Linked DNA regions of Oryctolagus cuniculus. The main gene of each other region encodes a partner of the protein of the gene in region 5 in a complex. Links are inferred from orthologs where the notes say so. Each region holds a gene or a part of one and is shown on either strand. Other genes may lie near its edges. The genes, in order: SAP130, CIR1, MTA3, MORF4L1, HDAC2, DNTTIP1 and MTA2.

Region 1 (3,918 bases), on a different chromosome or scaffold from region 5:
GGAGCCAAAGCCAGGAGCAAGGAAACCAATCCAGGTCTCCCACATGGTATGGCAGGAACCCAAGCACCTGAGCTACCACTGCAGCCTCCCAGGGTCTGCATTACCAGGAAACTGGAGTCGGGAGTGAAGCCAGGAACGGAACCCAGGCACTCTGATGAGGAATGGGGTTGTCTTAACCAGTATCTTGACTGCTAGGCCAAATGCCCACTGCCACAATGATAACTAAGATTAATATTCCATCTGATAAAGTCTTTTAACTACATCAGAAAAACAGCTAATCAATATTCCATTCACAGTGATTTATTCCATTTTCCAAAATGCCTATTCCACTAGTATTGTTTTTTTCAGATTTATTTACTTATTTGAAAGGCAGAATGACAGAGAGACCTTCCATCAAGTGGTTCATCCTTCAAATGGCTGCAACTGCCGGAGCTGAGTCAGGCCAAACCCAGAAGCCTGGAATTCCATCTGGGTCTCCAAGTTGGCAGGGGCTCAAGTACTTGGGTCATCATTTGTTGTCTTCCCAGGCACATTAGCAGGAAGCTAGACTGGAAGCAGAGGAGCTGGGATTTGAACCAGCACTCTGATATGGGATACAGGCATTGCCAAGTGATGCCTTAACCTGCTCTGCCACAATATCCACCCTTGTATCTCTTTTTAAATGCACTGACATCATTAGCTAACATGAGGATAAGATTTCACACTTTACATATAACTCTGAAGATCTAAGATGAATGAGAACACTACTTGTAAGGTGAATCTGCCCCATAAACTAAGAGATTTTTATGGAATGCTTCTCATTATTGAGCAAACATTTATATCTGTTTATATATGTTAGTCTGAATGTTTACAATGTCCCTGACGCTAAGTTCTAAGTGACTCATGTTACAAAGAGGAAATTAAGGCCTACAGAAACTTCTCAAGACCCCAAAGTCAGCAAGCGGCAGAGCCAGATTAAAACCCAGGTTTATTTCCCTACCCTATGCCACTTTTCATACAAAAAAGTTAAAATTACCTGAGGTCTTTCCTTCAGGTTGTGGCTGCTGAGCACCCATCGGAGCAGGCTGAAGACCCTGTGTGCTAAGTGGGGTGGCTGAGTGAATGCCCTGGGTGCCAATTGGTGCAGGCTGGATCCCTGGCGTCCCAATGGGTGCTGGCTGGATGCCCTGCGTGCTGATGGGTGCTGGCTGGATCCCCTGGATATGTCGAGCATGTGACGCATCCACTGTCATCAACTGCATGGGGTTTAGGTGGACTGTAGATGCTACTCCAACACCAGTCTGAGCTGTGATGGCAGAGTTTGGAGCCTGAGCTGAAACTAAAAATGATGCAAAGTGTGATTAAAGGTACTAGTGGCACAATCTGAATGACTTTCAAATGCCCAAAGTTAGCCAAGGATCCTACAGGAAAAGAATATGCAAACTCTGAGACTTCCAGACTGCTTTTCCTGGATTAGCAAAACACTACTTCTAAGTCAGAATGGTGATAGCTAAACATAATTGCACTAAAATTGAAAACACATAACAGTATCTCACAAAACAACAGAAGATTCCTAAGAGTATAGCTCTATCCATTCTACCTGTATACAAGTTTAAGAACTAACAAATATTATTTACATGATAATCCGCAGGGTGGGATAAAACTATGCAACTATTACCAACACTACCTTTTCATATGATCTTTTCAAAGATCATCAACATGGTGATTTAAGCCCTTATACAACCTTCAGATATGTTAGCCTTATCTGAATCTGGAAATCTGAACCTAGAATAATTAATTCCCATACTAGAAATAAGGCCTAATCAATTTGTATCTCATTGCTAGCAAAAAATTAAAATGCAAAGTCATTTTAAAAGTGGGACTTGTTTATACCTGGATACTGTCGGATAGTGGACACCGAACTGGTAATTGGGGTATAGGTGTGTGCTGCCAGTGGATATGCAGAAGGAGGGTAAGTTGGCAAAAAGTACTGGAACTGGACAGGAACAGAAGGTCTAGGGATGGAATAGAAACAGTGTGAAACAAAGTGGTTACTGGTTCTTTGCCTTTAAATGTCCCTCCTCACACCATTCGTAACTGCCCTGAGATTCTCTCAAACCGTGTCTTCAAAACTCTTAGATCAAAGGACAGACTGTAAAAATAAAAAATAAAAAAAAATAAAAAAAAAGTGAATACAGCAAACAACCACATGTCAATAAATCTAAAAACAGATATTTTATGGATGCTTTTTGAAAAGAACATTTACATTTAACAAAACTGACTCACACAAATTCAGTAATGAAAATCTTCCGTGTTCAATTCTACAAATTGTTTTTAATGCCAAATTTTGTCAAATATATATAAAACAGATAATCCCAACCTCCTACAAATTGATTCAGAGACCAAAAAAAGAAGAAACAAAATCTAACTTATTTTTTGAGATGTGGCCTTAGCACTAAAACAGGACACAGTATGAGAAGATAATAAACAAATCTCAATTTTCACTGTACACTGACACAAAAATAACTACACAGAATTACATTAAGGATTATATAGTGGTCAGCGCTGTGGCGCAGTAGGTTAAAGCCCCGGCCTGCAGTGTCAGCATCCCATATGGACACCAGGTAAAGTCCCAGCTGCTCCACTTCTGATCCAGCTCTCTGCTATGGCCTGGGAAAGCAGAAGATGGCCCATGTCCTTGGGCCCCTGTACCCACATGGGAGACCTGGAAGAAGCTCCTGGCTCCTGGCTTCAGATCAGCTCAGCGCTGGCTATTGCGGCCATTTGAGGAGTGAACTAGCGGATAGGAGACATATCTTTCTCTCTCTCTCTCTCTCTGGCTCTACCTTTCTATGTAACTGTCTTTCAAATAAATAAAATAAATATTTTAACAAAAAAATAAGATCATATAAAATTAAATACATCATGACCAAATAAGGTTTGTCAAGACAAGAATGATTCAACATTATAATTTCCATTCATGTTTTAGATGATATTTAAAAAATCAGGGGAACAATCACTTGAAATGTTGCAAAATATATGCACAAAATAATTGATGGCATTTCAATATTTATTCATGATGTAAATGCTTACAAAATAGGAATAAAAACTTCGAAAATGTTATCTACTCAAATCTACAAAGGAATTTCAGACGAATTTCCAGTCACTATCTTTAATTCAATAACATTTAATTGGAAACTCTATCCAGCAAAATAACAGGTATAAAAGATGAAAACACCTTCTTGCCATGCCCCCAACTGTCCTTAATGATATAAACATCTATATTAGAAATCCAAGAGAATCTATAAAACTTCAGAGTAACAGGAGTATTTGGCAAAGGGGGATCAGCATAATACTAATATATTAAAACCTGTAAATATTCCTACACACAATAATAAAAATGATATTTAAAAATCATCTGGGGAACTTTCCAGAACACTGAGGTGGGGAATAGTGCTGCCTGCTCAGGTTGCACAAGTACATGCTCCTTCCTTCGCTTCACACTGGCTCTACCTGGCTCACTGGCTGAAGAAAATGGTTTAAAAAATCACTTACTATGATGTTTTGGGGGTTCAAACCCATTATCACTCAGGAAGAACTGAAAAAAGTTAAAAGTTGGTCTTAAAAATACCACCTTTGATAGAATGACAAATGCCCTAAACAACACTCTGGCCTCAGAATCAGCCCTTAAGGCATTTGGATATGGCTAAAGTGCCCATGACAGCATTTCAGGCAAGGAAAGCCAAGACACTGTGGCAAAAAATGGCCTACATGAAAGATCTCTGTGAGTGAGAGCCCAGTGGAAAGAAGGGACCATCAAAGAAGGAGGTACCTTTCTCTGAAGGGAGGAGAGAACTTTCACTTTGCATATGGCCCTGTCTAAATAATGACAGAGTTTGTGGACTTAAAGGCTTCTGTAGCCTTGGCAGCTAATGTCAA
Region 2 (3,184 bases), on a different chromosome or scaffold from region 5:
CTGTGGTACAAAGGCCACCAGTGATAGGCAGGATGCTTGTCCCTCAGAGATGTACAGAGCCCTAACCCTGGAACCTGTGAATGTTGCACTGCACGGACAGGGGGAATTCAGGTTGCAAGTAAGTTGATCTTAAAAATAGGGAGATCACCCTGGATTCTTCAGATAGGCCTGGTGTAATCAGGGGGTCCTTATAACTGGAAGAGGGCTGCATAATGTCGAAGTGCCAGGGTGATTAGTTGTGAGAAGGACTTGACTTTGCTTTGTTAGCTCTGGAAACGGTGGAAGGCGGCCAGGCGCCAAGGCATGCAGACGGCATCCAGGAGCTGGAATTAATAAACAAGCAGATGTTCCTCTGGAGCCTCCAGGAGGAACACAGGCCAGCTGACACTGCAGTAGCCCAAGGATACGTCAGACTTCTGATCTCCGAAACCGTTCAGATGATGCATTTGTCCTGTTGAGCCTCTGAGGTAATGTGTATGGCAGCACACAAACACATCATCCAAATGTATACCCTGTAGCTTACTCTGTAGAACAAAACACCTGAGGGGAGTTTCAAAGTCTTAAATATTGATCAAGCCACTGTTTAGTTCACACTAGTGAATTCCAACAATGATTGTACTTGGCTTCAAGTAAAAGTCAGTTGTAAAATCACAAATTTGAATTTAAAAAAGAAAATTAAATTATACCCATTCAATGTACTGTCATTCTTTTAATGATATTTCAGAACAAAGAAATGTCACAGAGTTATATGGGGTTTTTATCTGGGACAGGGCTCAAAAAACAGTTACCAATAGAAATTGTTTCTACAGCCCTCAGATTACTTATAAATATTTGCAAAATTCATTCTTACAGTGCACATACAGTTTTATACTTGAAATGACAAGTTACAGAAATGGAAAATTAAAAGTTTTTTTTTTTTCATTAGAAACACATAGCACACAAGTTAGCCCTTGCAAAAGGTACTCAGTGAGAAAATGGAGACGGTTTTGTTTCCAGGTGATTGCCACACACATTCTCTTTATTCTCTACTCCTGCTTCGCCGCTGTGTCACTTTTGTCCGTTTATCTCCTGAGTGCTCTCTCTCTGTGTTTTCTCTGTGTTTATGTGTGCCGTGGCTTCTGGCATCATTTCTTCCACTCCGCTCTTCCCTGGGACTCCACTGTGACTGCCTTCCTGTCTCCTTCTGCTTGTAACCATCAGGACTTCGGCTTCGGCTCCTCCTCCTCTCATCCCTGCTGTGGCCTCTGCTGCTCCCCTCGTGTCTTTCAGATCTTCTCTTTTCTGGGCCATGGTTATGGCTTCTGGCCTTTCTGTCATAATCAGAATGGCCCCGTTTGCTACTCTCCCCAGAATGCTCCTGTTTTAAAAACCCAAGCTTTTCCTTGGCTTTTTCCTTGCTGTGATTGCTAGAAAGTTCTTCATAAAGTTTCCTCTTCTTAGACTTGTCCTTCTCTTCAGAATCATTGCTATTCCCGGAACACCTGTTTTTCTTTCTTTTCTTCTTTTCTCTTTTCTTCCCTTTGCTGTCACTCTCACTCTCACTGCTGCTTTCTGAAGTCTCAGTGGAGGAAGAGGAGGAGGAGGAGGAGGAGGAGGAGGAAGAAGAAGACGAGGAGGAGGAGGAAGAAGAGGATTTGTTTTTATGTTTTTTGTGTTTAGTTCTCTTGTGAAGCTTTTTCTTGTTTCTATCTTTTGTCTTTTTCTTTTTTTTCTTCTCAAGCCGATCCAATTTCCTGTAATAGAGAAGAAAGAGGTGCAGACTGTGAAAAACTGTCCTTTCAGCAACGACGACAGAATTGTCCATAGACAATTTTTAGTTTCTCAGGAGCTACTAAAAATGGTACCCATATCTAAACATGCTATTTACTTTATTAAATGACAAATCATTTTCGTTTTATTCCAGACTTGTATACATGAAGTTTAAACTAAAAAATTAAATGCATTAAGCCAAGTCTCTGAGTATACTTCATCAGAATACTGATGATAGTCATAGTAATGACTATTTTAAAAAGCCATTGTGGGGTAGGTATTTGGTGAGTGCCTCAGTATCAGTCCTGGCTCTGCTTCTGATTGTAGCTTTCTGCTTAATGTGTACAGTGGGAGGCAGCGGGTAAGGGTCTAAGAACTTGGCTCCTTGCCATACATGTGGGAAGCCTGAATAAAGTTCTAGGCTTTTGGCATCAGCCTGGCCTAGCCCTTGTATTTGTGGGCATTTACGGAGTGAACCAATGGATGGAAGATCTATCTCTGTCATCTCTCTCTGCCTTTCAACGAAAAAATTAAAATAAAGAAATAAAATTTAAAAATCACATTGTTAGTAAGCTAGAATTTGAAACGATAGCACTGTAAATAAATGGCCATGTTAGTCTAAAGAAAACCTATGAAAGATCTGTATAACACTAGTTGCACTTATTGCAATCTGAAAATATACAGCTATAATCAGATGAAAAATTAACTTTATATATGACTAAAGTGTGGAAACTAATCAACATTGATTACCAAAATTTAAGAGTACATGCTCCAGAAATTCTGAATAAGAACGTATTTTAAAATTTTGATACTTTGTTATATAAATTACTCACATACTAATTTTCAACAATTATTTAATTCTAAAAATAATTAGGACAACCATATTAAGGCATTCTGAATGCCTAGAGAGCACATCGCAGTCTCTGGCACTGTGAAATCACAGCGTCTTCACTGGCTCTCTCCAAGCACGCTCAGAACTGCACACTGAAGACATCATGAGCTCCCTCTATGGGCTGCAGCGGACATGTCTTAGATTCTTCACTCCAGAGGCCATCTGTTTAACAACATCTGTACTGACCTCGATTTAAGCAATCTTCCAGTATTTCTCATGAAACTGAAAAAAGTTAGAAACTACATGGCCCAAACATACGGGGTCATGTATAATATGAGGAGCAAATACTCATTTTCTGAAAACTGTGTGCAAAAAATATACTAATGTACAAATAAGTCTATTTCCAAATACCATGTTCTAAAAAGTGCAACAGTTTTGTGGTATAATCTGAACATATAACCTGACACTCCTTTTCCTATCACTGAAAAGGAAGATTTGTAATACTATTGCTGAATAATAAACCAATAATTGTGATGACTGGTTTAAGGAACTTCATGAGCTCTTATGATTAGGGTTATATGATGCTATGATGAAACATAAAGA
Region 3 (4,423 bases), on a different chromosome or scaffold from region 5:
GAGGCAGAGCCCTCTGGGGGTGACACAGCAATCTAGCCTAGCCCTTCCCCGTATTTAATTCAGGTCCATTTAGGTTTTTGGTATAAAGAAAACTGCTGCAGGCTTTCCACAAAAAAGGAGAAAAATTTTCAAGTGTGGCTTTTCCTCTCATCTAATAGGCTCACTGGAAACTTCCCACTGTGTGTCCGTCTGAGAGGCTGGACTGCGTTGTTATTGTCTATCTTAGCGGCTCTCTCTTCTGCAAAGTGGCCTCATTTAGCCAAGCCATTCCCACCACCATCCATCAGGAGCTCGGCTAACGAGCAGAGAAGAGCTCGTCTCACACACAAACACGCCACTTATCTGAATTATTATTTTACCAGGAAAGAGGGAGGAGGGCGTCGTGAGTAGGGAGAAAGTTTGTTTGACCTTATTTCTCTCTTCCGCAGAAGGCTGGGAAGGAGGCAGACAGGAGAGCAAACGTCCGGGCAGAGCTCAACTCCCCACCTCTGGCTGCGGTTCCTGGCCCCTGCTAGACCCCAATCTTGGGGGGCCGGACAAGAAACGCAAGGGGAGGCTTTGAAGGCGAGGTGCAGGAACCGGCCCCGCCAACAGGCCTGTCCAGCGGGGACCCTGGCTGGGCCCCCTCGCCCCCACCCCCACCCCACTCTCCGACTGAAGGGCAGGGGAAGGAGAGGAGGAGGAAGATGTCCCCCCATCCTCCCCGGCCCCCAATACCCAGAAGCCACGCGAGGAAAAGGCCACCCAGTCAGGGGGCTCGACGGGCCCTGCCCCCATGTGGGTTCCATGGAGGGGGGCGCCTGGTAATTCATGCCCCCAGTAGAGGCCTGTTCCTAAAAACCTGGACAGGGTATGGGGGTGCTGCTGGTCCCCGGCCCCTTGCGGGCCACCGTGGGGGGAGGAGGAGGGGTGGGGGTGGGGAGCCCGGCCCCTCTGAGGGCCCCGGTGCCCCCCTCCCTGCGCCCTCAGCCCGGGCGCCCAGGACTCTCGGCGGTTAGCTTGCGCTCGCCGCGACCCCCCAACTCCCGCAGCCCGCCCCCAAGACGGGCCGGGTCGGGCCGAGCCTTCCTACCTCCGACCCGGTACATGTTGGCCGCCATGTCCGCCCGCCCGCCCGCGGAGCCCAAGCCGAGCCCCGCCCGCCGCCGCCGCCGCCGCCTCAGCCTCGACCGCCGCCGCCGCCGCCGCCTCCTCGCCGCCTCGCCACGGGGGGGAGGGGAAGGGAGAGGACGGGGGAGGGGGAAGTGAAGGGGAGGGGACGCCGAGGGCTGGGGGCTGGCGTCCGCCCCCAGCGCAGGGCGAGCGAAACCGAGTGGGCCGCGCTGGGGGAGGCCCCGGGAGGCCCCAGCGCTGCGGGTTGCGGGCACCGGGGGACAGGGAGGGAGGCTGAGGGGCCTTGCGAGTGGAGGACCCCAGGGCCCCAGTCCTGGCCGACGCAGAAGCCTGCACTGGCAACTGCGGGCTGGGGGCCCTTGGAGATTGGGGTGGGAACAGAGGCTGAGCCTCCCTGGAGCGCTTCCTGCCCCACCCTGAGTAACCCGTCACCTGCCCACCGCTAGACAGGTTCTCCTTCCCTGCTCTGTCCCCGGGGAGCCCCAGCATGTGCGACCCTAAGCAAGGCAGCACCAGTGCAAGCTTCGCTGCAAAGTCTTGGATACAAATAAGTGCAGGCAGCAGGGCACCTTCCTCTGGGAAGGTTGTTACAGACCCCAGGCGTTCCCAGTCAGAGACCCAGCTGGGCCAGGACTGGAAAAACTGGCTGCCGTCCAAGTGCGCCCTAACTGCGATGGCGGGGACGTCATCATTCACCCCAGAACTAGGCTGAACAGAACCCACTCCCGGACACCCTGAGACCCTGTCTGTAACTAGGCCCCATTGCAAAAAAAAAAAAAAAGACTTAGCGGCGCCCTTCGTCCAAGGGCCCTACAGTTCCCCACACCACCTCCCAGGAGGAGAGACTGTCAGACTGTCAGGTTGTTGATGATGGACAGTTAACTAGTTCTGTGCCTGAACCTTTTAAATGGTCATTTTCTCATGCTAATTCTCTGGACAACTTGTTTTCAAATCCTTGGCACCCTCGGAACAAAAAGATAAAGTTGAGTCTTAGCTGGCCATCCCCCAAGTGAACACAAATACTTTTTTTTAGGCAAGCCAATCTACTACTCCCAGACTTTGTTGCAGAATAAACACAACAATGATCCCTGATGGTTGCGGGTTGTTGGGAGTGTCTGGTGATGTACAGCTGTGTGGCTGTTGACTGTGACTTTGAGGCCTATGCTGGAAGAGGAGGTGTTCCCAGAAAAGTCTGTGTTTGCCTTATCTTGTGCCGTGGCCCCTAATCAAAAGATGTTGAAGTGAAAAAATAATTATCTGGACAGCTGAAGCAAAGTGAGAATAATACAACAATGAACAACTTTGCCTGCCTTACATTGGTTGACTCCGTGACCTGTTTCCTCTTTTATGAAATGGGGACACTAACTCCACCTCACAGGTGGTAAGGATCCGTTGTGATGCTATCTGAAAATGCTTTGTAAACCGGAGCAGAAAGCACCAAGCAAATAGCAGGTGTCTTCCGCTTTCTTTTTAACCCCAGAAAGCCTCAGATTCCCAGGGGTTTTATGCCATGTGTCAACTGTGAGCCCTGTCAGCTCTTGTGACCCAGCAAAGAAAGCAAAAGTATTCTGCTATGCACATGGCGTGGCTGTTGTTTATCATAATCCTTTTACTGGAGATACCACCAAAAATATATTGTGACATATCCGACATCACTCTCTCCGTTTCTGAGCTGACACAAATAAGTGGAATAATTCACCTGGAGTCATACAGTGAACTGGCAGCGTGATCGAGATTGTAATTCAGCCGCTTCTGCCGACCTAGGAAGCTCTGGACCATAAAGCCTTTCTCCCAGGGAAAAAGTCACCTGGAAACCATAAATTGCAAAGACACAGACCACAAGCTTTAGGGTGTCTTCACGTTATGTTTTTAATAAATGAGTGATTTTTCCGCCTTCATGCCCATGTCTGTGTTTTTGCTGGTTCCTTGTCTGCCAGTCTCACTTCCCTAGCTCGGTGCTCCTTGCCAGGTGTTTGTGATGACTGTAACAACAACAACAAACCGGTGAAAGGTGCCAAGAAAACTCCCTACATCCACACCCACCTCCTCCCCTTAGGAACAATTTATCCAGAAGCCCCCCATGAAAGGCCTCAGAGATCTGTGGGGTGAGGTTGGGGGGCAGGGGGACTGGGGAAATGGCGGCTGGACCTGGAACTCTTTCCTTCCTCCAGATTCTGTTGTTCTTAGTGTCTCCCACTCCTCCAGCTCCTACACAGTGTCCTCTACATTCTAGGTTCTCAATATCTGAAAGAAAAAATGCCAGGGGGCCGGCGCTGGGGCGCAGCGGGTTAACGCCCTAGCCTGAAGTGCCAGCATCCCATATGGGCGCCAGTTCAAAACCCAGCTGCTCTACTTCCAATCCAGCTCTCTGCTATGGTCTGGGAAAGCAGTAGAATTTTGGCCCCTGCACCAGTGTGGGAGACCCAGAAGAAGCTCCGGGTCTTTAAAAAGAAGGAAGGGGAGGAGGAGAAGAGGGGAAGAAGAGGGAGAGGGGAAAGGGGAGGGGGGAGGTAGGGAGGGGAAGGAGAGGGGGGAGGGGGGAGGGGGAGGGGGGGAGGGGAGGGGGAGGGGAGGGGGACTAGTGCTGTGGTATAGCAGGTAAAGCGGCCAACTTCAGTGCCAACATCCCATAGGGGTGCGAGTTCAAGTCCTGGCTGCTCCACTTCCGATCCAGCTCTCTGCTATGGCCTGCTAAGTCCTTGGGTCCCTGTACCCACATGGGAGATGGGGAAGAAGTCCCTGGCTCAGCTCCGGCCATTGCAGCCATCTGGGGAGTGAAAGTGAACCAGCAGATGGAAGACCTCTCTCCCTCTGCCTCTGCCTCTCAAGTAAATAAATAAATCTTAAAAAAAGAAGAAGAGGAGGAGGAGGAAGAGGAAGTGGAAGAGGAGGAGGAAGAGGAAGAAGAAGTTGTTTATAGAAGGGATTATCTGAAACCCCAGGACATTCCCTGTGTTGGACTCCAGAATCTCACCAGTTAGCTGAAAAGAAATGGATGCTGTGTAAAAGCTATAGATAAGGGCCTGGCATTGTGGCACAGCGGGTTAAGCTGCCAACACCACCAGCATCCAATATCGGCAGAGTCCTAGTTGCTTCGCTTCAGATCCAGTTCCCTGCTAATGTACCTAGGAAGGCAGCAGAGAATGGCCCAAGTACTTGGACCCTTGCACCCACATAGGAGACGTGAATGGAGTTCTGGGTTCCTGTCTGGGGCCTGGCTCAACCCTGGCTGTTGTGGCCATTTGGAGAATAAACCAGTGGATGAAAGCTATCTCTCTGTGTGTCTCTCTTTGTCTCCCCCTCTTTCTCT
Region 4 (3,918 bases), on a different chromosome or scaffold from region 5:
CTGCACAGCACAGTTCTGAAGACTAGCAATCTGCGGGGACCCACACACCCATCCACACATAGATGTGCCTTCACATTATCAAGTACTAACTTACTGTATATTACATGCCAGCTTCAGTCTGAAGCTAACTTAACATAATTATCTCTTTGCATTCTAACAAGATCAAGAAGAAACCACCATTCCACTAAACGCAGAAACTAAAACACACAAAACGTTGACACTTGTCCAATCTCACAGGTAGAAAAGGAGTTGGAGAGATACTTAATCTTGGCAGCTTAGCTGTAACCAAGACCCATCCTTAAAGAGTTCAAATCAGGACTCAAACTTTAAGTCCACATGGTGTGGATGAGCGAGTCTCTCAAGTCACCATCCCCAAGCAACCTCTACTCTCCATTCCTAACCCCAAATCTCTATGTTTCTTTTAAATTGCTTCATTTGTCCTACAGAATTCCTCATGTTCATGAACGAATTCTTTATGTTCAACATGCTCCTCCTCTACTAAACATTCCCATTCCTGAAAACCAATAATTACACATAGAAGATTGATTAGACTCAGGTTCTTTTGGAGATCATGAAATCCACTTTGTAGGTGGTACTGAGTGCTTTCTGTCTGCATTCTACCACCCATACATCGGTGAGGATATTCCATTCTCAGTGTATACAACCTGTTCTGCACTTATCAACTCTCAGAATCATTTCTGACCTAGCAACCCCCGAAATGAATTATCTTCACCTTTTTCTAAACCATTAACTCATAAAGCCAATATATTTTGATAACTCTTCAGTCTCTGAACTAAATATTATTCATCATATTGTAGAACTTCAAGTTTATTTTTTTTCCTTTTTGAAGTAACAGAAGTGAGTGGCAAGAAAGAGCATGAGCACACAGATCACCATCTGTGACGTTTTCAAGTTACCTGTTTTTGTCTTGTAATTAAGTCCCAGTCATCAACAAGCCATGGTTTGAGCTCTTCAGGAATCTTTACTTTAACTTCCACTCTGTTCATGAATGTTTCTTCCTAAACAGAAACAACAACACTATCAGAAACCCATCTTTTCTTGCTGAAGAGTAACTCTAGACCACAGGGAAATTTTGACCTTTAAGGACACTAGGAATAGATCAAATGCTTGCAGATGCCAAATATACAGGCAGAACTGTCCATTTAAAAATAGTACAACAGTACAAAAGTAAAAAAAAAAAAAAAAAAAAAAAGTAAATAAAAAATAAAAAAAAATAGTATAAAAGTAAAGACAAAAATCTTGGGGGAAGGGCTGGCACTGTGGCATAGCAGGTAAAGCTGCCTCCTACAGAGCCAGCATCCCATATGGGCGCCAGTTTGAGTCCAGGCCGCTCCACTTCTGATCCAGCTCTCTGCTGTGGCCTAGAAAAGCAGAAGATGGCTCAAGCACCCTACACCTGCATGGGAGACCCAGAAGAAACTCCTGGCTTTGGATTGGCCCAGCTCCGGCTGTTGCAGCCATTTGGGGAGTGAACCAGAGGATGGAAGACCTCTCTGTCTCTCCCTCCCTCTGTATCTCTGCCTTTCAAATAAACAAAATCTTTAAAGCACAGAACTTAGAGGGTTTCATGGCATCTCTTTTGGGTTCATTAAAGCATCTTGGATATGTCTCGAATAGGTCACTTAATATGACCTAAAAAAACTATCCTGTCCTCCAACACTGAAGAAATACTTGATCTTGTGTGTAAACACGAACTTGTGGCCGGTGCCACAGCTCAATAGGCTAATCCTCCGCCTGCGGCGCCGGCACCCCGGGTCGCTCCTCTTCCTGTCCAGCTCTCTGCTGTGGCCCGGGAGTGCAGTGGAGGATGGCCCAAATGCTTGGGCCCTGCACCCCACGGAAGACCAGGAGAAGCACCTGGCTCCTGGCTTCAGATCAGCGCAGTGTGCCGGCCGCAGCGGCCACTGGGGGAGTGAACCAACGGAAAAAGAAAGACCTTTCTGTCTCTCTCCCTGTCCACTCTGCCTGTCAAAAAAACAATTTTAAAAAAATTAAAAAAAAAAAAAAAAACACAGAACTTGTACAGTAAACCCCTGATGATGAAGTGATGAAGTGTGGAAGTCGAGAGCTATAGGTGAAATTAGGATTTATATATATATATAACCTCTACCCAAGGGCAGAAAGGAGGAAGGTTGTGTCTGACTGAAAATTCTAATAGTTACACAAGAAAAACTCACATTTTCAACAGTAGGATCTACACGGGCCCTTTTCTTCCGAGGAGGCTGAGGGGTCTCACTAGTACTGCCGCCATCTCCATTTCCAGGTGCTATTAACACACGGGTGTTGGGCAGAGGTAGGGGGATTTTGTTTAATAACTTTTTAAGAAAAACAGCCTATGACAGATCCTGTTACTTGAATCTAAGTTAAAAAATTATTTTCAGTGAAAGCTTAACTTTTAGGATCAGCTCCACCAAACATTATATAAGCAACACAATATCACTATGTTCTATCTATTTAAAAAAGTTATCTTTTCTGGGGAGTCATATATTTAAATCTTTAACAGTTTCTCATCAGCATAAGGATCATCAGACTTAGGTCTCTCCCACTGTGTATCTATCTCAACACTGCTGTGACACTCATTTGCGACCATCAAGAAACATACACAGCAAATTAAAAGATGTTATAATGGTATAAATCAATATTAAGAGAGTTAACATTCTTACTTTTCTGTTTGTTCTTTTTGGTTTTCCTAAAAGAAGAAAAGGAGAAAAAAAATTCAGTAAAAACAGCCTTTGTTCAGATCTCTTTTATCACAGTTAAATTCAAAGGTAGACTACCTTGGGTAAGATGAGGCAGTAAAAATTAAAAAAAAAGGGGGGGGGGGGGCTGTTCAGAAACAAGGATTTTTATTAACAGAATAACCCAATACATGGATGATAATTTCTACCAAAGTTGTATATTTTAAAAGTATGCAGTTTATAAGAGTATTACATTAAAGTTTACATTACTAATTCTACCAAGAAGCTTCAGTTTTACTTTCCCTACTGTTTTTGTTCCCCTTCCCAAAACATTAATTTTGTTTATAGACTTGCCTGTCTTAAACAGCAATGTTACTCTACTCTCATTGGTTCAAACTTAACTTTCTCTTCTCTATAATCCTTCCATTTAAATATTATACCCTCTTCTACCATATCTAGAACAAAGCTGATGTCTCCTTCCTATGTTATTATCTTTAGTAAAAACTCATGCCTTTTTGTAGTCTATCATATTACCCAATTAGCTATAGCTGTTTCGAGAACCCAAGAAAACAGCTGACAAAGCTTTGATTATGGATTACTTTTGTAGGCTCATTCCAGAACACCTGAATTTTACTTTACTATAGTTTTAAAACACCAGGGGTGGGGAACATCCAAGCCAGACTGAGGCCCACAGAATCATTTGGTCTGACCTTGCTGAGGCAATTGCAGGTAAAACACAGAATTCAGTAAGTCTATAGCAGGCTACTTTTTAAGCTGATAATGCTATATGGCCCAGAAATGATGTTTTAAACATCCAAATGGCCCTTGGCAGAAAAAAATGGTTCCCCATCTCTGTAAACGGGGCCAGCGCTGTGGTGCAGCAGGTTAACACCCTGGTCTGAAGTGCCAGCATCCCACATGGGTGCCGGCTGAGATCCCGCTGCTACACTTCCGATCCAGCTCTCTGCTGTGGCCTGGAAAAGCACTGCAAGATGGCCCAAGTCCTTGGGTTTCTGCACCCACGTGGGAGACCCAGAAGAAGCTCCTGGCTCCTGGCTTCAGATCGGCGCGGCTCTGGCCATTGCAGCCAATTGGGGAGTAAACCAGCAGATGGAAGACCTCCCTTCCTCTCTCTCTGCCTCTCTTTCAAATAAATGAATCTTTTAAAAAAATAATAAACAATGTATGTTATGAATTATATTCATTTAGTCTTGGAACT
Region 5 (4,380 bases):
GATTATTCAGATCCTGCTACTGATTCCACTCACTCCCAGTCCAATCCATGCTGTATACCTTAAAGTTGTGTAAGTTCTTTGATGCCAAAGTTCCTTTACTTGCATCCTTATGTTCATAATTTAACAAAAAAAATTGTTTTTATAAAGTGACAAAATAGTTTTTTTTGACAACAAAAATGTTTTTGTAATTAACTGCGCAGAGCTTAGCATGCTGCCACATATCAGCACAATTATACATGACTTAATCTCTTCAGGGTATTTTATTAGCACCTTCCACGGAACTCCAAGACGATTTGAAAAGTAAGCAACTAAAGGGTCCATTCTAAAAATGAGTCCAATCAGAGCCACAGACAGAAGACCTACCTGACTGTCAGTACTGTTGGCCATCAATCAAGTACTGACTAACACAAATCAAGACTGTCAAACATCTTCCACTCTACCCAATTGCATCCTGCCCCTGGGACCAATGTCTGCCCCCACTCTCAACAAAGGCTTATCATAAATGGGCTGAGGAACAAACAGTTCTCAGAAAACTGCTACCCAAGCATACCTCCTGCTCCTACAGTTTAAGCCTGCTGACAAAAAGTTGCGAGCACTTTATTCCATGGACCCCATCACTGCCAACAGCAAGTGACAACTGACAGACACTGAGCACCACTTTCTGCAACTTGTTAAATTTTTTCCCTTTGTTCCAAGTCCTGCCAAAAAACAAATCTCTAAACTCTGGAAACAACCCCCGGGCTGTAAAGCTACAGCCTGCAACACTGGCATCCCATATGGGCACAGGTTTGTGTCCCAGCTGCTCCACTTCTGATCCAGCTTCCTGCTAATGGCGTAGGCAAAGCAAAGAGGATGGCCCAAGCTTTTGGGCCCCTGCTTTCCATGTGGGAGACACAGAAGAAGCTCCTGGCTTCCACCTGGCCCATCGTGGACAACTGGGGAGTGAACCAGTGGATAGAAGATCTCTATCTATCGCTCCCTCTAACTCCCAAATAAATATTTTAAAATAAAAATAAGGTTGTTACATTTCCAATTTAACTAGAGAAGGTAGGGGGAAAGGTTTTGCCAACAACCCAAATATGCAATAAAATTCATGTTAAAATGTACTCCCATCTCTACAGCCCCAGTATAATTTCAAATCAATTTGCAGTCCTTCAAAGGATACATTTTAAAACAAGGCTGTTCCTATTTTGTCCCAGGTATTATGGGTCAATTTAAATTTTTTCCCATAATACATAATTTCCCACAAATGACTCAGATGGCTATTTCATATAAAACTGGCATTTTAAAAAATGGGATCCTTGCTAAATGAAGGGGCACGGTTCTGCTGTTACAGCCAGGTTTATACTGACCTTAGCTACCTTTCTAAAGTTGTGATTTACAGTATACAATCCATAAGAAACGGCTTCTCACATCTGTATTCGTATTGCTTCCCACAATTAGGACTGTGAGATCACTCAGCCTGGCTTTGTTAAATTTCAGTACTCTTTCTCCCAAAGGGTAACCTATTAGAGTTCAGATCTTTGTAAAATCTCTTAAGCTAGTGTTCCATTTAGTGTAACTTAGGCTGGCACAGAACGCAGAATCCAGAGTTGTAATGTTACTGACGCTACTCTGTATTACAGAATCCCTAAAATTAAATAACCTGATTTTTATAATTCACCATACCGTGAGCTCAAGCTTACCTGATTAAACTCCTTAGTCCTCCTGCACTACTCCCTCCAGTTTTTCTACATCAGGATCCCCACCACCTGAGAACAGCCTTCACAAGCCAGATGCCCATGGTCCCCTACACCTCCAAAGCAGGGTCTACTTCCTGATCGAACAAAGAGCAACAACAAAGAAGTGGGTGGTAACCACCTCCCACACGGGCAAGCCAGGACCCATCGAGTCTGACCTACAACACAAGCAGGAACACAGCTCTTCATTTTCCTCTCTCGTTCGCCGCGCCAACTGCCAGCCTCAAACTCGAAATCCCTAATTGTTACGGAGGAAGTGGAGCCCATCAATTTGAATCCGGAGAAAGTGGCGCTCAAAGAGCCGGGTGAACAAAGGAGAGGGATGCAGCCCACGCAGAACACGGGGGTGAGGGCGCCGCACGCCGGACTCGGGTTCCCACTCCCAGTAACCCCCACTCCGGCATCGCCCCGGGCCGAGGGGTCCGGGGTGCGGCTGCCAGCGGAGAGAGAAGGCGCCCGGGCCAGACGCGAGCAGAGGGGCGCAAGCGGGGGCAGGGGCACCGGAGGGGGCTGCAGGGGCGGAGCTTTGCGGCCGCTGGGCTTTGTGTAGTCAGAGCCGGGGTAGGAATTTTGACTCAGGGGGGCAAGGATCGGGTGCGGGATGCCGGCGAAGGGGTCCCCCAAAACCGCGATGCCACGAGAGGCGGGTGAAGTGCCAGGGAGGGCCGACCCCCTCGCCACTACCACCGGCGGGGCTAGGCCAGTGTGGTCCCCACAGCCGGCCACCTTGGGGGCTGCGGGCCGCACGACCGAAGACAGAGGCAGAAAGCAAGCGGGGCGTTCCCCCATTCCCGCCCGCAGGGTCCGCAGGAGGGGGTCGAGGTGCAGGGTCTCCCGCTGGCCGCGTCGGGTCCGCAACGGGTTAAGATGCGGCCAAGCGTCGGTCCCTCCTCCTTCCCACCCCTCTGAGCCGGCACCCACTGGCGACGGCGGCCAGAGAGCCCGGCGCGGCCCCCGGCCCGGCGACCCAGCCCTACCCGCCCACCCGGCCTCTCACCATCATAGTAGTAGCAGACTTTCTTCTTGCCGCCTCCTTGACTGTACGCCATGGGTTCCCCGGCCACCGCCGCCTCCGGGCTCCGGCTCCTCCTCCTGCTGTGGCTGCAGCTGCCGCCGCGGCTCGGCGGAGAGAAAGGCTAGGGGGATGGTGGGGGATGCCGCCCCGCGGGGAAGGGCAGGTCGGAGGGGGAGGGTCCCCGGAGGGCTCGGTACAGCCCGGCCGAGGGGGCCGAGAGCGCGGAGCGGGGGTGGCAGCGGCGCCAACTCGCGACACTGGGGAGGGGGAGGGGGCCGCCAAACCACCTCCGGAGGCCGAGGGGAGGTGGGACGCGTCCACTGAGTCCTCCACGGGGGAGGGAGGGGCATGACCAGAGAAAGAGGCCGGTTCAGGCTTGGGTGAGAATCCTTATAGTGATGAACAGCTTGCGGGGAACAGCGCCATTCAAAGCCTTAAAATTATGAAAAAGGCAGGCTCCTCCTCAGCAATACCAAGAGAACGACGACCCTTGTGTGTGTTCCCACCCTCGGATCTTCGCGCAGTGGTTGCGCCTATCCCGAGCCTGCGCAGTCGGCGCCTGCTCAACCGTAGCCTTGGCTGTCTAGACCCCCTCGGTGTCGTCCCACGCTGTTCCCCTCCCCCACTGTCGCGAAGCTCCCGCCCAAGCCGACCACGTGCCGTGCGCCGGGCGGGGAAAGACCACTCACGTTCTCCTTCCGGGCCTTCGAGCTGCGGGGCTTTCGCCCGCGGCCCCAGGACGTGGTCGCATGGTTTTCTCATCTGTTCACTAATATTTCGGTTTTTTTTTGGCTTTTAAGTGCTCTGGACACTGACCTATTGTAAGCTTTCAAGGAAGAGTGTACCGCTTGGGTTTGAATGGACATTTATAAAATTCATTTGTGTGGGGCAGGGTTCTAAAAGTGTTTGCATTTAGAGTAGTGTTTCATTGATACCCACTTAGAATAAATGCTGCACTTTTGTAAAGCTTCCCTCCGATACCGGGGTGTAAGTACTATTTCTGTTTCTTGTAGTTGGGAGCAGATTAAATTGGCCCTCGCAGCTGCTGATAGTTGGGAGTTTGGTCTCCGTCTTTTTCCAAACTCCGTATACCCTGGCTTTTCCACGAAACTAGACACTGGATAGGACGCTAGGAGAAAGGATTTTCAAACATTTGGAAATTACAAATGCCTGTGACCCTGCGTTCAATAAATCAGCATTTATCAGGCACCTACCCTAAGCCAGCCACGTTGCTGGGAACAGTGAAGACAGCCCGCAGTGTAGCACTTGTTTCCTAAGTCATGTACAATACCTTCCCACGCTGCCCACATGCAGGCTGTCTCCCATATGCCCAGTCAAGAAAAGAGGGGAGTGGAGAGACCTGTATTGAAGCAGGAGCCGTTTAAAGTCACATTCAAAAATATTATTTTTATTTTTTTTCACTTTTCCAAATTGACAACGGTATTTATGATCGGAGCAGCAATTTTCCTGGACCACATCCCCATGAGATTTAGAAAAGGTGTGTCAAGGATGGCTCCTGCCACACCCTTCCCAACCCTTCTGTTTGTAGTTTTAATAAGACCACAGTTGGTGCAAGAACCCTGGTGGGAGAAACCTTGGCTTGGGTGCGGTTGATTATGTGGTATT
Region 6 (3,918 bases), on a different chromosome or scaffold from region 5:
TAGCTGTGTTTGGGGGAAGGGTGTTGTGACTGATGAGTAAGATCACTCAGTGGCACACGAGGGAACAGTGGTGTGGAGTCTTTCACCCGTCATTCCTATGCAAGCTAATGTGATCCAATGTGTGGTCCAAATACGAAGGCTGGGTGGAAGCGTGGAGGGAGAAAAAGGGAGCCCTAGTGGCAGGGAAAGGAACCTGGGGACCATGGAGAAACAGGCCTTAAAGTCTTCCTTCCCACACGTATCAGGCTTTGGGGGTCTCCAGATTCGGAGAGGAGCTGTCGCCGACAGAGGGAATCTTGGTCCCTGAAGGTGGCCTCTGGCAGTGGCGCGTGGGAACAGTGCTTACCATCTTCCCTCCTGTTGCCCGCATGTGATGTTGCTCAGCCAGCCAGTGCTTGTCCTGGGGGTCAGCTGCATACTGTGGAGAACAGCGTGAAAGGGGAGCCATTAGCCTTGCAGTTCTGATCAGTAAGACCCAGCCTGGTGGACGCAGAAGGCCCAGTAACCCCTTCAGAGCAAGCCAAGCCAAGCCCAGGAGGCCAAGGCATGGGATCCAATTCCCTGAGACTTAGTACACTTCTAATCCCCCTACTGCTTCTTTTCTCGAAACATCTCCCTGGCAACCAGTGGGACAGGTGACCATTACTTTAGAGCCTCCTCTTTTTAAGATTTATTTATTTACTTCAAAGTCAGATTTACAGAGAGAGAGGGAGACACAGACAGAAAGATCTTCCATCTGTTGGTTCACTCCCTAAATGGCCACAACTTCCAGGTTTGGGCCAGGCCAAAGCCAGGAGCTTTTTCTGGGTCTCCAACATGGGTGCAGGGCCCCAAGCACCTGGGCCACCTTCTGCTGCTTTCCCCGGTGCATTGGCATGGAGCTGGATCGCAAGTGGAGCAGCCGGGACTGAAACCAGCACCCATGGGACGCTTGTGTTGTGGGCAGAGGCTTACTCCACTATGCCACATCACCAGCCACTACAGCCTCCTTTTTAAAGTTTTATTTCATCTATTTGAAAGGCAGAGTTACAGAAAGAGAGAGAGAGGAAGACAGAGAGACTTTCCATTCACTGGTTCACTCCCCAAATGGTTGCAATGGCCAGGGCTGGGCCAGGCAGAAGCCAGGAGCTAGACTGGACGTGGAGCAGCCAGGATCCAAACTGGCACCCACAAGATGCTGGCACTGCAGGTGGGGGCAACCTACTCCACTGCAATGCTGGCCTCCCCTTTTAATAAATCATCTGAGGTGGCTTGCAACACCTATGATTACGATTATTACTGCTTCCCAAAGGAAAACCAGACCACAACATGTATGAGCTAAAAATAATAAGCAAAATATCCCACAGGACAAGGACACACACACACGCCCATATCTGTGTTTATGCTCTGCCATGGCTGCGGGTGGTCTGGAGTGGAGGGCAGTCAGGGTCAAGGGTGAAGGAACTCCAGTGTACTCGCTGAAGGTTTTTACACTAAGAATGGGGTCATATTTCTATAACTTAAAAAGTCTAAAAAAGGAAAAGATAAATTCAAATAATGTCTTCTGAAGGACAGAAAAATTGGGCACAAGATGTAATTGGCAGTTTCCAGAAGAAATACAAATAGATTCTAAATGGTTAAGAATGCTTATAATAGAGAACTGTAAAGAGAAAGGGAGTGGTGACTGGGGTGGGGGTGGGGAGGGTGTGTGCCTGACAAGCAAGGGCAAGGTCAGAAATAATTATCCATCAGGAATGAGAGTGTGGGTTGGGAGTTTAGTATGAATGGTGGGCCTTAGAACTGGAAAACTATGCTAACAACAATCAACCTCTACCGAGCCCGTGCCACGTGGCAGGCCTTAAGCCAGTGCTTCCCTGCATTCTCTCTTAATTGACACTAAAAGGTTGGTCTGCCACTCCCGGTTTACACACGACAGAACAATTCAGAACTGAACAGGAATTCAGACCATCCAAGATCCTATCTATAGATGATAACAAAAAAAAATCTCTTGGGGTATGTGGGTTTTTTTAAAACTATTTTTACTTATTTAGCTTAAAAAGATTTATTTATGTATTTGAAAGGTAGAGAGAGAGAGAGAACCTTCCATCCTCTGGTTCACTCCCCAAAAGGCTACAATGACCAAAGCTGGGCTGGTCTGAAGCCAGGAGCCAGGAGCTTCTTTCTGGGTCTCCCACATGGGTGCAGGGACCCAAGCACTTGGGCCATCTTCTACTGCTTTCCCAGGCATATTAGCAGGGAGCTGGATCAGAAGTGCAGCAGTCAGGACTCGAACTGGCACCTGTATGGGACACTGGCGATACAGGTGGTAGCTTTTACCCACCATGCCGGCCCCTAAAGATTTGTATTTATTTGAAAGGTAGAGTAACAAAGAGAGGAGGAAGACACAGATCATCCATCTATTGGTTTAATCCCCAAAAGGCTGCAATAGCGAATGTGAGGCTGGGCCAAAGCCAGGAGCCAGGAACTCCATCCAGGTCTCCCATGTGGGTGGCAGGAACCCAAGTACTCTGGCCATCAGTCACCGCCTCCCAGGCCTATTAGCAGGAAGGTCAACTGGAAGCATGGAGTACCTGGGAGTCAAACCAGACACTCTGTTATGGTGTTGCTGGTGGGCTAAGCAGCAGCTTAGCCCCTGCGCCACAACGCCTGCCCCTGAGTACCTACTCAGGGTCTTAAAGAGTAGTTGGGCAGACAAGGGTTGGGGAGGAAAACAGAACAGCAGGAGTGAAGACACCGAGAGGAGAGAGCGGCAGCAAGCTTGCCAGCCTCTCTAGATGCTGGGACTCCTAGGATCCAAGACTGGAGAAGAGCAAGCAAGTCTGCCAATTTGCACAGAGTGTGGCAGGTACAGTAATTCTGGGACCCTAACGGGGCTGGGAGCTTCTGGCAAGGGGTACCAAACTTTAGGGACAGGAACAAAAAATGTCTGGAACACACATGCGTTTCTATTTTTCTGTTCTTTTAAATACTTTTGTGGCTGATAAAATACACATTCATTTAAGACAATGAGTGAATTTGTGATTTCTCCTGTTATTTCCTCAAACAGCTGCTCCAGAGAGGAGTCCCTCCTTGGAAGAAGGGTAGAGCCCTGCCTTGCGCCACAGACAACTGAGTAAGGTAGGGGTTAAGAGCTCAGGCTTCAGTGTAGACAGACCTGGATTTGAATCCTGACTTGCTGAGTAACTCTGGGCAAATCACTTAGTCTTTCTTGACCTCTGCTTTTTTCAAATTTGTAAAATAAAGATAAGGGATAGTTCCAGGAGATAATGTGTTGTACTTAAAACCATGTTTGCCATACAATAAACATGTAGGCCAAGTAGCCATTGCTACCAGGGCACAGAGCTGTTGAGTAAATTACAAAAGGTACAGGGGAATGGCAGAAGGGACTCCCGACTCCCAGACCAGCGAGTGTCCCGAGCTTCTCCATGGCACGCAGAATTCCCACTGCCACCTACTCCAGGGCAGCGGCCCACCTGCTTCCCGGCACTCACTCACCTTAAAGAGATGTGGGTGCTTGATGTAGATTCTTCCTCTGGTGCCCCCCATCCCTAGAGCCCTGAAAAGGGAAAGACAAGTGGTAAAGATTCCAGCAGGCGCAACTCTAGTAGTAGACCCCCGAGCTGCCACTCCATCAGTGCCAAAGCTTAGACTCACTTGTTGGCTCGAGACCCCAACACAAAAGTGGTAGATTCATTCAGCCGAGCCGGGTCCCACTGCAAAAAACAGAGGCCGGTGAGGGGGGGTTTCATCTGGTGATGGGACAAAGCACTGCCTCCTGTCTTTTCTCCTGGATACACCATTCCCAACAAGCAGCTTACTCAAGAAAAAGAGTACTTAACAATATCCCAGGCCTCATGCTAGATGCTGGGGAAAAGAATAAGACAGTCTAGGGCTAGTGCTGTAGCACAGCAGGTTAAA
Region 7 (4,451 bases), on a different chromosome or scaffold from region 5:
AGATTCCTCCTCAAACTCCCCTGCAAGGTTAAGGAGGAAGAAACCAAGTCAAACACAAATCCAGAAAGTCACTACCTAGGGAACTCTTACCCAGGGAAAATATTTCCTGGCTCAGCTGTTTTTCTCACATTCTCCCTGCATCTACCTTCTGTTCTCTTATCCCACCAGCATTTCTCTATGCCCTGTTCACAGATGCTCCCAACTCTCATCACTAATGCCTTAAGGAAGGGCTGCTGAGTACGAAGAATGCTGCAGGAAAGCATCCCAAACCCAGCTGCCAATGCTCAGACGTCACTCAGAAAGCAGACACTGCCCACACCAGGCCCATCACACTGTCTCTTTTTTGCTAAACCAGCCTAAGGTCCAGGAACCCAATAAGATGAAAAAAAAAAAAAAATGTCACACAGGTTGTGTTTACCAGTTCCTCTTTTCAGATTTCAGGAGACTCTGCTCTCAAACATCACATGCAACCCTAACTATCCCTCACTTTCTACTTGGCTAATAATAGTTTGTGGGGCTTTCAAGGACAACACCTCTCAAGCCAGTGCCAACACCTCCCTCAAGGAGCTGCAGCCTGCCTTGAAACCTTGGTGAAAAGGGTTAACCTGGCCGGGCGCCAGTCAAAGTGGGAGGGTGCAGGAGAGCCTCAGGCTCAGGCTCATTGGTGCATTGTTCCCCGACCTCGGGGAGGGGGGGATGGGGAGGGGTGCAATATGCTCCACCCCTTGCCTGTGTGCTCCGGAAACCCTGTGCTAAGGCAAAGGGGACCACACCCCCCACACCCTTTCTGATTGGACAAGGCCAAGGTCAGCCCCTGCCAGAGGAGGCTGGAAACCCCAAAGGCCCAGGGAACTTCGTAAGCCCGCCCGGCTCTCCTCATTAACCCCTTCAAGCCCAGTGCAGCCTTTAAAAAGGAAAATAACTTAGACAAGAGGAAGAGGAAAGAAAACCAAAGCAGGAAAGGAAAAAGAAGCCAAGGAAAAAATGAAGGCAATACATTTTCCAAAAGAAAATGAGAGCTTAAAAGGAAGGAAGATAAGGCAAAAGGAAAAAGGAAAGAAGTAAAATGGAGTAGAGGGGACATGGAAGAGGTGAGAAACAAGAAAAAGTGCAAGAACACTTTCCTGCCATATCCTAACTTCCATTCTCTCCCTTCACCGCGTTCGCACCACCTCGTGATTATAAAGTAAGCCTGCTTCCCTGCTGCACAGGCTTCTCAGTACAATCTCTTCCTTCTCACCTTGACCCTCAGACACCCCTCATTGTCTCAGTGTACTCAAAACTCTACCCCCCCAAAGTGTCCTGCTTCTCTTCCTTACCTCCTATGTAAACACTATCATTTCTGTCTCTCTCTCACACACACACACACACATACACCATAGTCTGGCTTTCCTTATCATGGTCTCTCCACCCTGCTTCCAACCCCAACGTGTAAAAACAGGCCTCCCTCCACAAACCAGGCACTTCCCACCCCCAAAACTCACACCCCTGCTTTGGGCATGCTACCAGGGGAAACACCTGCAGGGACATGCCCAGATGGCAGGAGGAGGGGATGAAGACACTCACTGGCATTACTATCGGCCAGGCTGTTGAGGCTACTAGAAATGTCCCTTCGCCGGAAAAGACAGACAACCTTTGCCTCCACATTTCCATTTGCAGTCTAAGAGAGGGGAAAAAAACGTAGCAGTGAAAATTGGTTATCTGAAAGTGGAAATGCACAGAGCCTAACAACATGGAATAAATTTCTAAGGGACCTAAGTAAAAGAGCTCAAGAAATTATAAGGATTTAATTCAAGGACAGACTTCCAAACCCCTTTCCTTTGCACCCGAGAGACAGATGAGGAAGACTCCCACTAAGCTCTCAATAGCCTGTCCTGTATGCACCCAATGAATGAATGAATATGAATGAGCACTCAGGTTAGTGGCCTCTCTTCCACCCGAACTTAGAGACCTCAAAGGAGCCCACTTGGGGGATGGGGAGGGGGGTCTATTCCACTCACCTTGTTGAGCTCCTCAATCCGTCTAACCAGGTAAGGATTGCTGGAGGAGTTCTCAAAATAGACGTAATCTGTAGGAGGGGGTGGGGAAGAACGGGAAGATGGGACAGCCAGTCAGGGTAGGAGGAGAGAAAACCGCCCGCGTCGACCAAAAGTGGGTAAGGGTCCAGGCAGGGGAGGCTCGAGTGTGGACAGGGGCAGACTAAGATGCCTCCACCTTGCCGCATCGGATTCTAAATCACACCCTTCGCTCAAAAGTGAGCCTTCAGGAAAAGACAGGCAGCAGTTTCCCCCAACTCAGCGATGGAGTTGCACTCCAGCCCCGGCGAAGTGAACAATTGTTCGCTCCAGCACCCGGCCCCCGCCTTGGCGGAGCGAGGCGCACAATAACGCCCAGGGAGAAGAAACCTCAGGCTGCTCCCCGCAGGTAGCACAGCCGTCGCCGCGGGCCCCCCGCCCCCGGGGCCCCGTCCCTATCCTGTCAGCTCCTTCGGAACCAGTTTCTCAAGCCCACTCCCCGCCCCAGGGGCCCGCGGTGCCGCACTCCGAGTGCCGTCGGGGCTGCCCGCAGCCTCTCCCGACCCCCGGAGCCCGGCCGCGTCGCGGTCCCCGCACCCTCGCTCCCCGGGCTCCCGGTTCCGGTTCCGGTCCGAGCTCCGGTCCACGCCGCCCCAGACGCGGCTCCCTGCGCCGCCGAGTGCCCGGCCCCCCCTGCCCCGGGCCCCGCGCCCCTGCGCCCGGTACTCACCCCCCACCCGGTACATGTTGGCCGCCATGGCCGTTCCCGCCGCCGCCTCCGGCCGCACAAAGGGGTCCGGGAAGCTCGCGGGGGCAGGGCTCGGCTCGAGGCGAAGCCCCGAGAGCCGGGCCGGCGCTCTGGGAGAGTCTTCCTGGGGTCCGCGCAGCCGGCGCCTCCGCTGCCTCAGCCGTCGCGGTTCATCCCGGCCCGCGCTGTCGCCGCCGCTGCTGCCGCCTCAAGCCCGGGACGCCGAGGCCGGCGCCGGTCCGCTCGGCTTCTTCCGGAACGAACTCGGCTCCTGCCGGACCGGAGCCAGGCTCCGGCTAGCCGCCCCCCCACCCCCACCCCCGACCTCGACCGGTCCCACCAGACGTTGAGCTCCGCGGGCCCAGGGGAGGCTAGCCCTGCCCGCCTCGGGATTCGCCTTCTTCCGGAACACCTTCGGCTGATCGGAGAACAAGGCCCGGCGCTCGGCTCAGGTCGGAGAGCAAGACCCCACAGATCGGCTACTTCCGGAATGAGCTCGAGTGGCTTCGGCCAACCGCGGCCCGTCCCTCGGTTATTTCCGTTGCAGCTCGGGACCGCCCCCTCCCCGAGGGCGGGGGAGGAGGCGGGCTTAACCCTTCCCTCGCAGGAGTCTGCGGCTCCGCCTGACGTCCCGCAAGGCGCGCGCGCCCTCGCGCTTCGCCGGGCGGTCTGCAAACAGCTTTGCCTACCATTTGCATGAACGGCCTACGGGCGCTTTCCACACTCCTCTTCGCCTCCATCCCACCCCTCGGGGTCCCTAGGGCACCCAGCTGCGCCCCACAAAAGCACAGGGAGGCGACTCTGGTTTTGGTTTATTGCCCCTCAGCAGGCAGCAGGAGTCAGGACCCAGGCTGGGGCGGCCCGGCTCGGCCAGCGGGTCCCTACAGTGTGTGCAGGGGCGATCGCCCCCCGGGGAGATGCGCACTTGGGAATGTCTCGAAGTCGAGGAAAAGGGGCCGGCCAGTCGGTCCGGTCCGGCAGCGATCAGACGTCCAGAGAGGAGGCGGGGGACAGGGACGGGGTCCGGGAGGGCGTGGCGGCCGCCGGCCCCGCGCCCCCAGCGCCCAGCACGCGCCACTGGAAGATGCTGGCGTCCTTGCCGCCTAGTGAGACGAGGTACGAGTCGTCGTGCGTGAACCGGACGCTGGTCACGTGGCTGCCGTGGCCCCCGTACACGCGGCTCGGCGCCTGGCGGGGAGGGGAGGGTGAGCGGCAGCGCCGTCCGGGCCCGCCCTGGCCCGCGCCCCCGGCGCCCCGGGCAGCCTCACCTTGGCGCGCGCGCACGGGTACTGGAAGAGGTGCACTTTGCAGAAGTCATCGGCCACAGCCACCACGCGCTCGTCGTGGGAGCGGCACAGCGAGTTGATGTCGGTCCCGTCGGAGCCGTCCGGCCACACGCCTAGCACAGCGACGGCCTCAGCCCGGCCCCCTGCCCGCCACCACCCGCGGCCCAGCGTAGCCCCATCTCTGGCACTCGCTGCCACCAACAACCGGCCGCCTTCCAGGCAGTCCTTCCTGGTCCCGAGGGCGAAGGGGTAGGGGGCCCGTGGGCTGGGTCCTCCGCAGGTTCTCCGAACACCCGCCCGGCGTGCCGAGCCCACAGCGGGCTCCACCTCGTCCCGCTCGGGCCCCCCACCCCTGCTCACCGTACACGTGGAAGCCCAGCACGCAAGTGTAGGTGGCCCATT

The links.
Region 1: HDAC2 (region 5) and SAP130 share a complex: the UniProt entries of both Homo sapiens proteins name them as parts of the mSin3A corepressor complex. The link is inferred for Oryctolagus cuniculus from reciprocal best matches to the Homo sapiens genes HDAC2 and SAP130.
Region 2: HDAC2 (region 5) and CIR1 share a complex: the UniProt entries of both Homo sapiens proteins name them as parts of the histone deacetylase complex. The link is inferred for Oryctolagus cuniculus from reciprocal best matches to the Homo sapiens genes HDAC2 and CIRSR.
Region 3: HDAC2 (region 5) and MTA3 share a complex: the UniProt entries of both Homo sapiens proteins name them as parts of the nucleosome remodeling and deacetylase (NuRD) repressor complex. The link is inferred for Oryctolagus cuniculus from reciprocal best matches to the Homo sapiens genes HDAC2 and MTA3.
Region 4: the proteins of HDAC2 (region 5) and MORF4L1 are in contact, whole or in part, in a cryo-EM structure (PDB 8C60), measured with the Homo sapiens proteins. The link is inferred for Oryctolagus cuniculus from reciprocal best matches to the Homo sapiens genes HDAC2 and MORF4L1. Residues at the interface, in NP_001518.3 of Homo sapiens: Gln93, Arg94, Asn96, Ser146, Glu147; in NP_996670.1 of Homo sapiens: Pro355, Glu356, Arg359, Lys360.
Region 6: HDAC2 (region 5) and DNTTIP1 share a complex: the UniProt entries of both Homo sapiens proteins name them as parts of the histone deacetylase complex. The link is inferred for Oryctolagus cuniculus from reciprocal best matches to the Homo sapiens genes HDAC2 and DNTTIP1.
Region 7: HDAC2 (region 5) and MTA2 share a complex: the UniProt entries of both Homo sapiens proteins name them as parts of the nucleosome remodeling and deacetylase (NuRD) repressor complex. The link is inferred for Oryctolagus cuniculus from reciprocal best matches to the Homo sapiens genes HDAC2 and MTA2.

The regions. Positions count from the first base shown.
Region 1 is NC_091434.1:118,436,361-118,440,278, forward strand, and holds part of SAP130 (histone deacetylase complex subunit SAP130), read right to left. Parts: intron 1,995-3,918; coding exon 1,873-1,994; intron 1,319-1,872; coding exon 1,016-1,318; intron 1-1,015. UniProt on the Homo sapiens protein: Acts as a transcriptional repressor. May function in the assembly and/or enzymatic activity of the mSin3A corepressor complex or in mediating interactions between the complex and other regulatory complexes.
Region 2 is NC_091434.1:66,821,315-66,824,498, reverse strand, and holds the end of CIR1 (corepressor interacting with RBPJ 1), read right to left. Parts: intron 1,734-3,184; coding exon 1,019-1,733; 3' UTR 690-1,018; downstream 1-689. UniProt on the Homo sapiens protein: May modulate splice site selection during alternative splicing of pre-mRNAs. Regulates transcription and acts as corepressor for RBPJ. Recruits RBPJ to the Sin3-histone deacetylase complex (HDAC). Required for RBPJ-mediated repression of transcription.
Region 3 is NC_091433.1:160,050,044-160,054,466, forward strand, and holds the start of MTA3 (metastasis-associated protein MTA3), read right to left. Parts: upstream 3,000-4,423; 5' UTR 1,101-2,999; coding exon 1,073-1,100; intron 570-1,072; exon of another isoform or gene 409-569; intron 379-408; exon of another isoform or gene 360-378; intron 1-359. UniProt on the Homo sapiens protein: Acts as a component of the histone deacetylase NuRD complex which participates in the remodeling of chromatin.
Region 4 is NC_091443.1:105,824,837-105,828,754, forward strand, and holds part of MORF4L1 (mortality factor 4-like protein 1), read right to left. Parts: intron 2,711-3,918; coding exon 2,685-2,710; intron 2,288-2,684; coding exon 2,199-2,287; intron 1,020-2,198; coding exon 918-1,019; intron 1-917. UniProt on the Homo sapiens protein: Component of the NuA4 histone acetyltransferase (HAT) complex which is involved in transcriptional activation of select genes principally by acetylation of nucleosomal histones H4 and H2A.
Region 5 is NC_091436.1:57,413,712-57,418,091, reverse strand, and holds the start of HDAC2 (histone deacetylase 2), read right to left. Parts: upstream 3,194-4,380; 5' UTR 2,789-3,193; coding exon 2,737-2,788; intron 1,829-2,736; exon of another isoform or gene 1,686-1,828; intron 1-1,685. UniProt on the Homo sapiens protein: Histone deacetylase that catalyzes the deacetylation of lysine residues on the N-terminal part of the core histones (H2A, H2B, H3 and H4).
Region 6 is NC_091442.1:13,583,640-13,587,557, forward strand, and holds part of DNTTIP1 (deoxynucleotidyltransferase terminal-interacting protein 1), read right to left. Parts: intron 3,714-3,918; coding exon 3,655-3,713; intron 3,557-3,654; coding exon 3,496-3,556; intron 419-3,495; coding exon 347-418; intron 1-346. UniProt on the Homo sapiens protein: Increases DNTT terminal deoxynucleotidyltransferase activity (in vitro). Also acts as a transcriptional regulator, binding to the consensus sequence 5'-GNTGCATG-3' following an AT-tract.
Region 7 is NC_091432.1:8,953,136-8,957,586, reverse strand, and holds the start of MTA2 (metastasis-associated protein MTA2), read right to left. Parts: upstream 3,188-4,451; 5' UTR 2,774-3,187; coding exon 2,746-2,773; intron 2,069-2,745; coding exon 2,001-2,068; intron 1,661-2,000; coding exon 1,567-1,660; intron 21-1,566; coding exon 1-20. Other genes in the region: EML3 (echinoderm microtubule-associated protein-like 3), read right to left, coding at 3,521-3,951, 4,032-4,052, 4,410-4,451. UniProt on the Homo sapiens protein: May function as a transcriptional coregulator. Acts as a component of the histone deacetylase NuRD complex which participates in the remodeling of chromatin.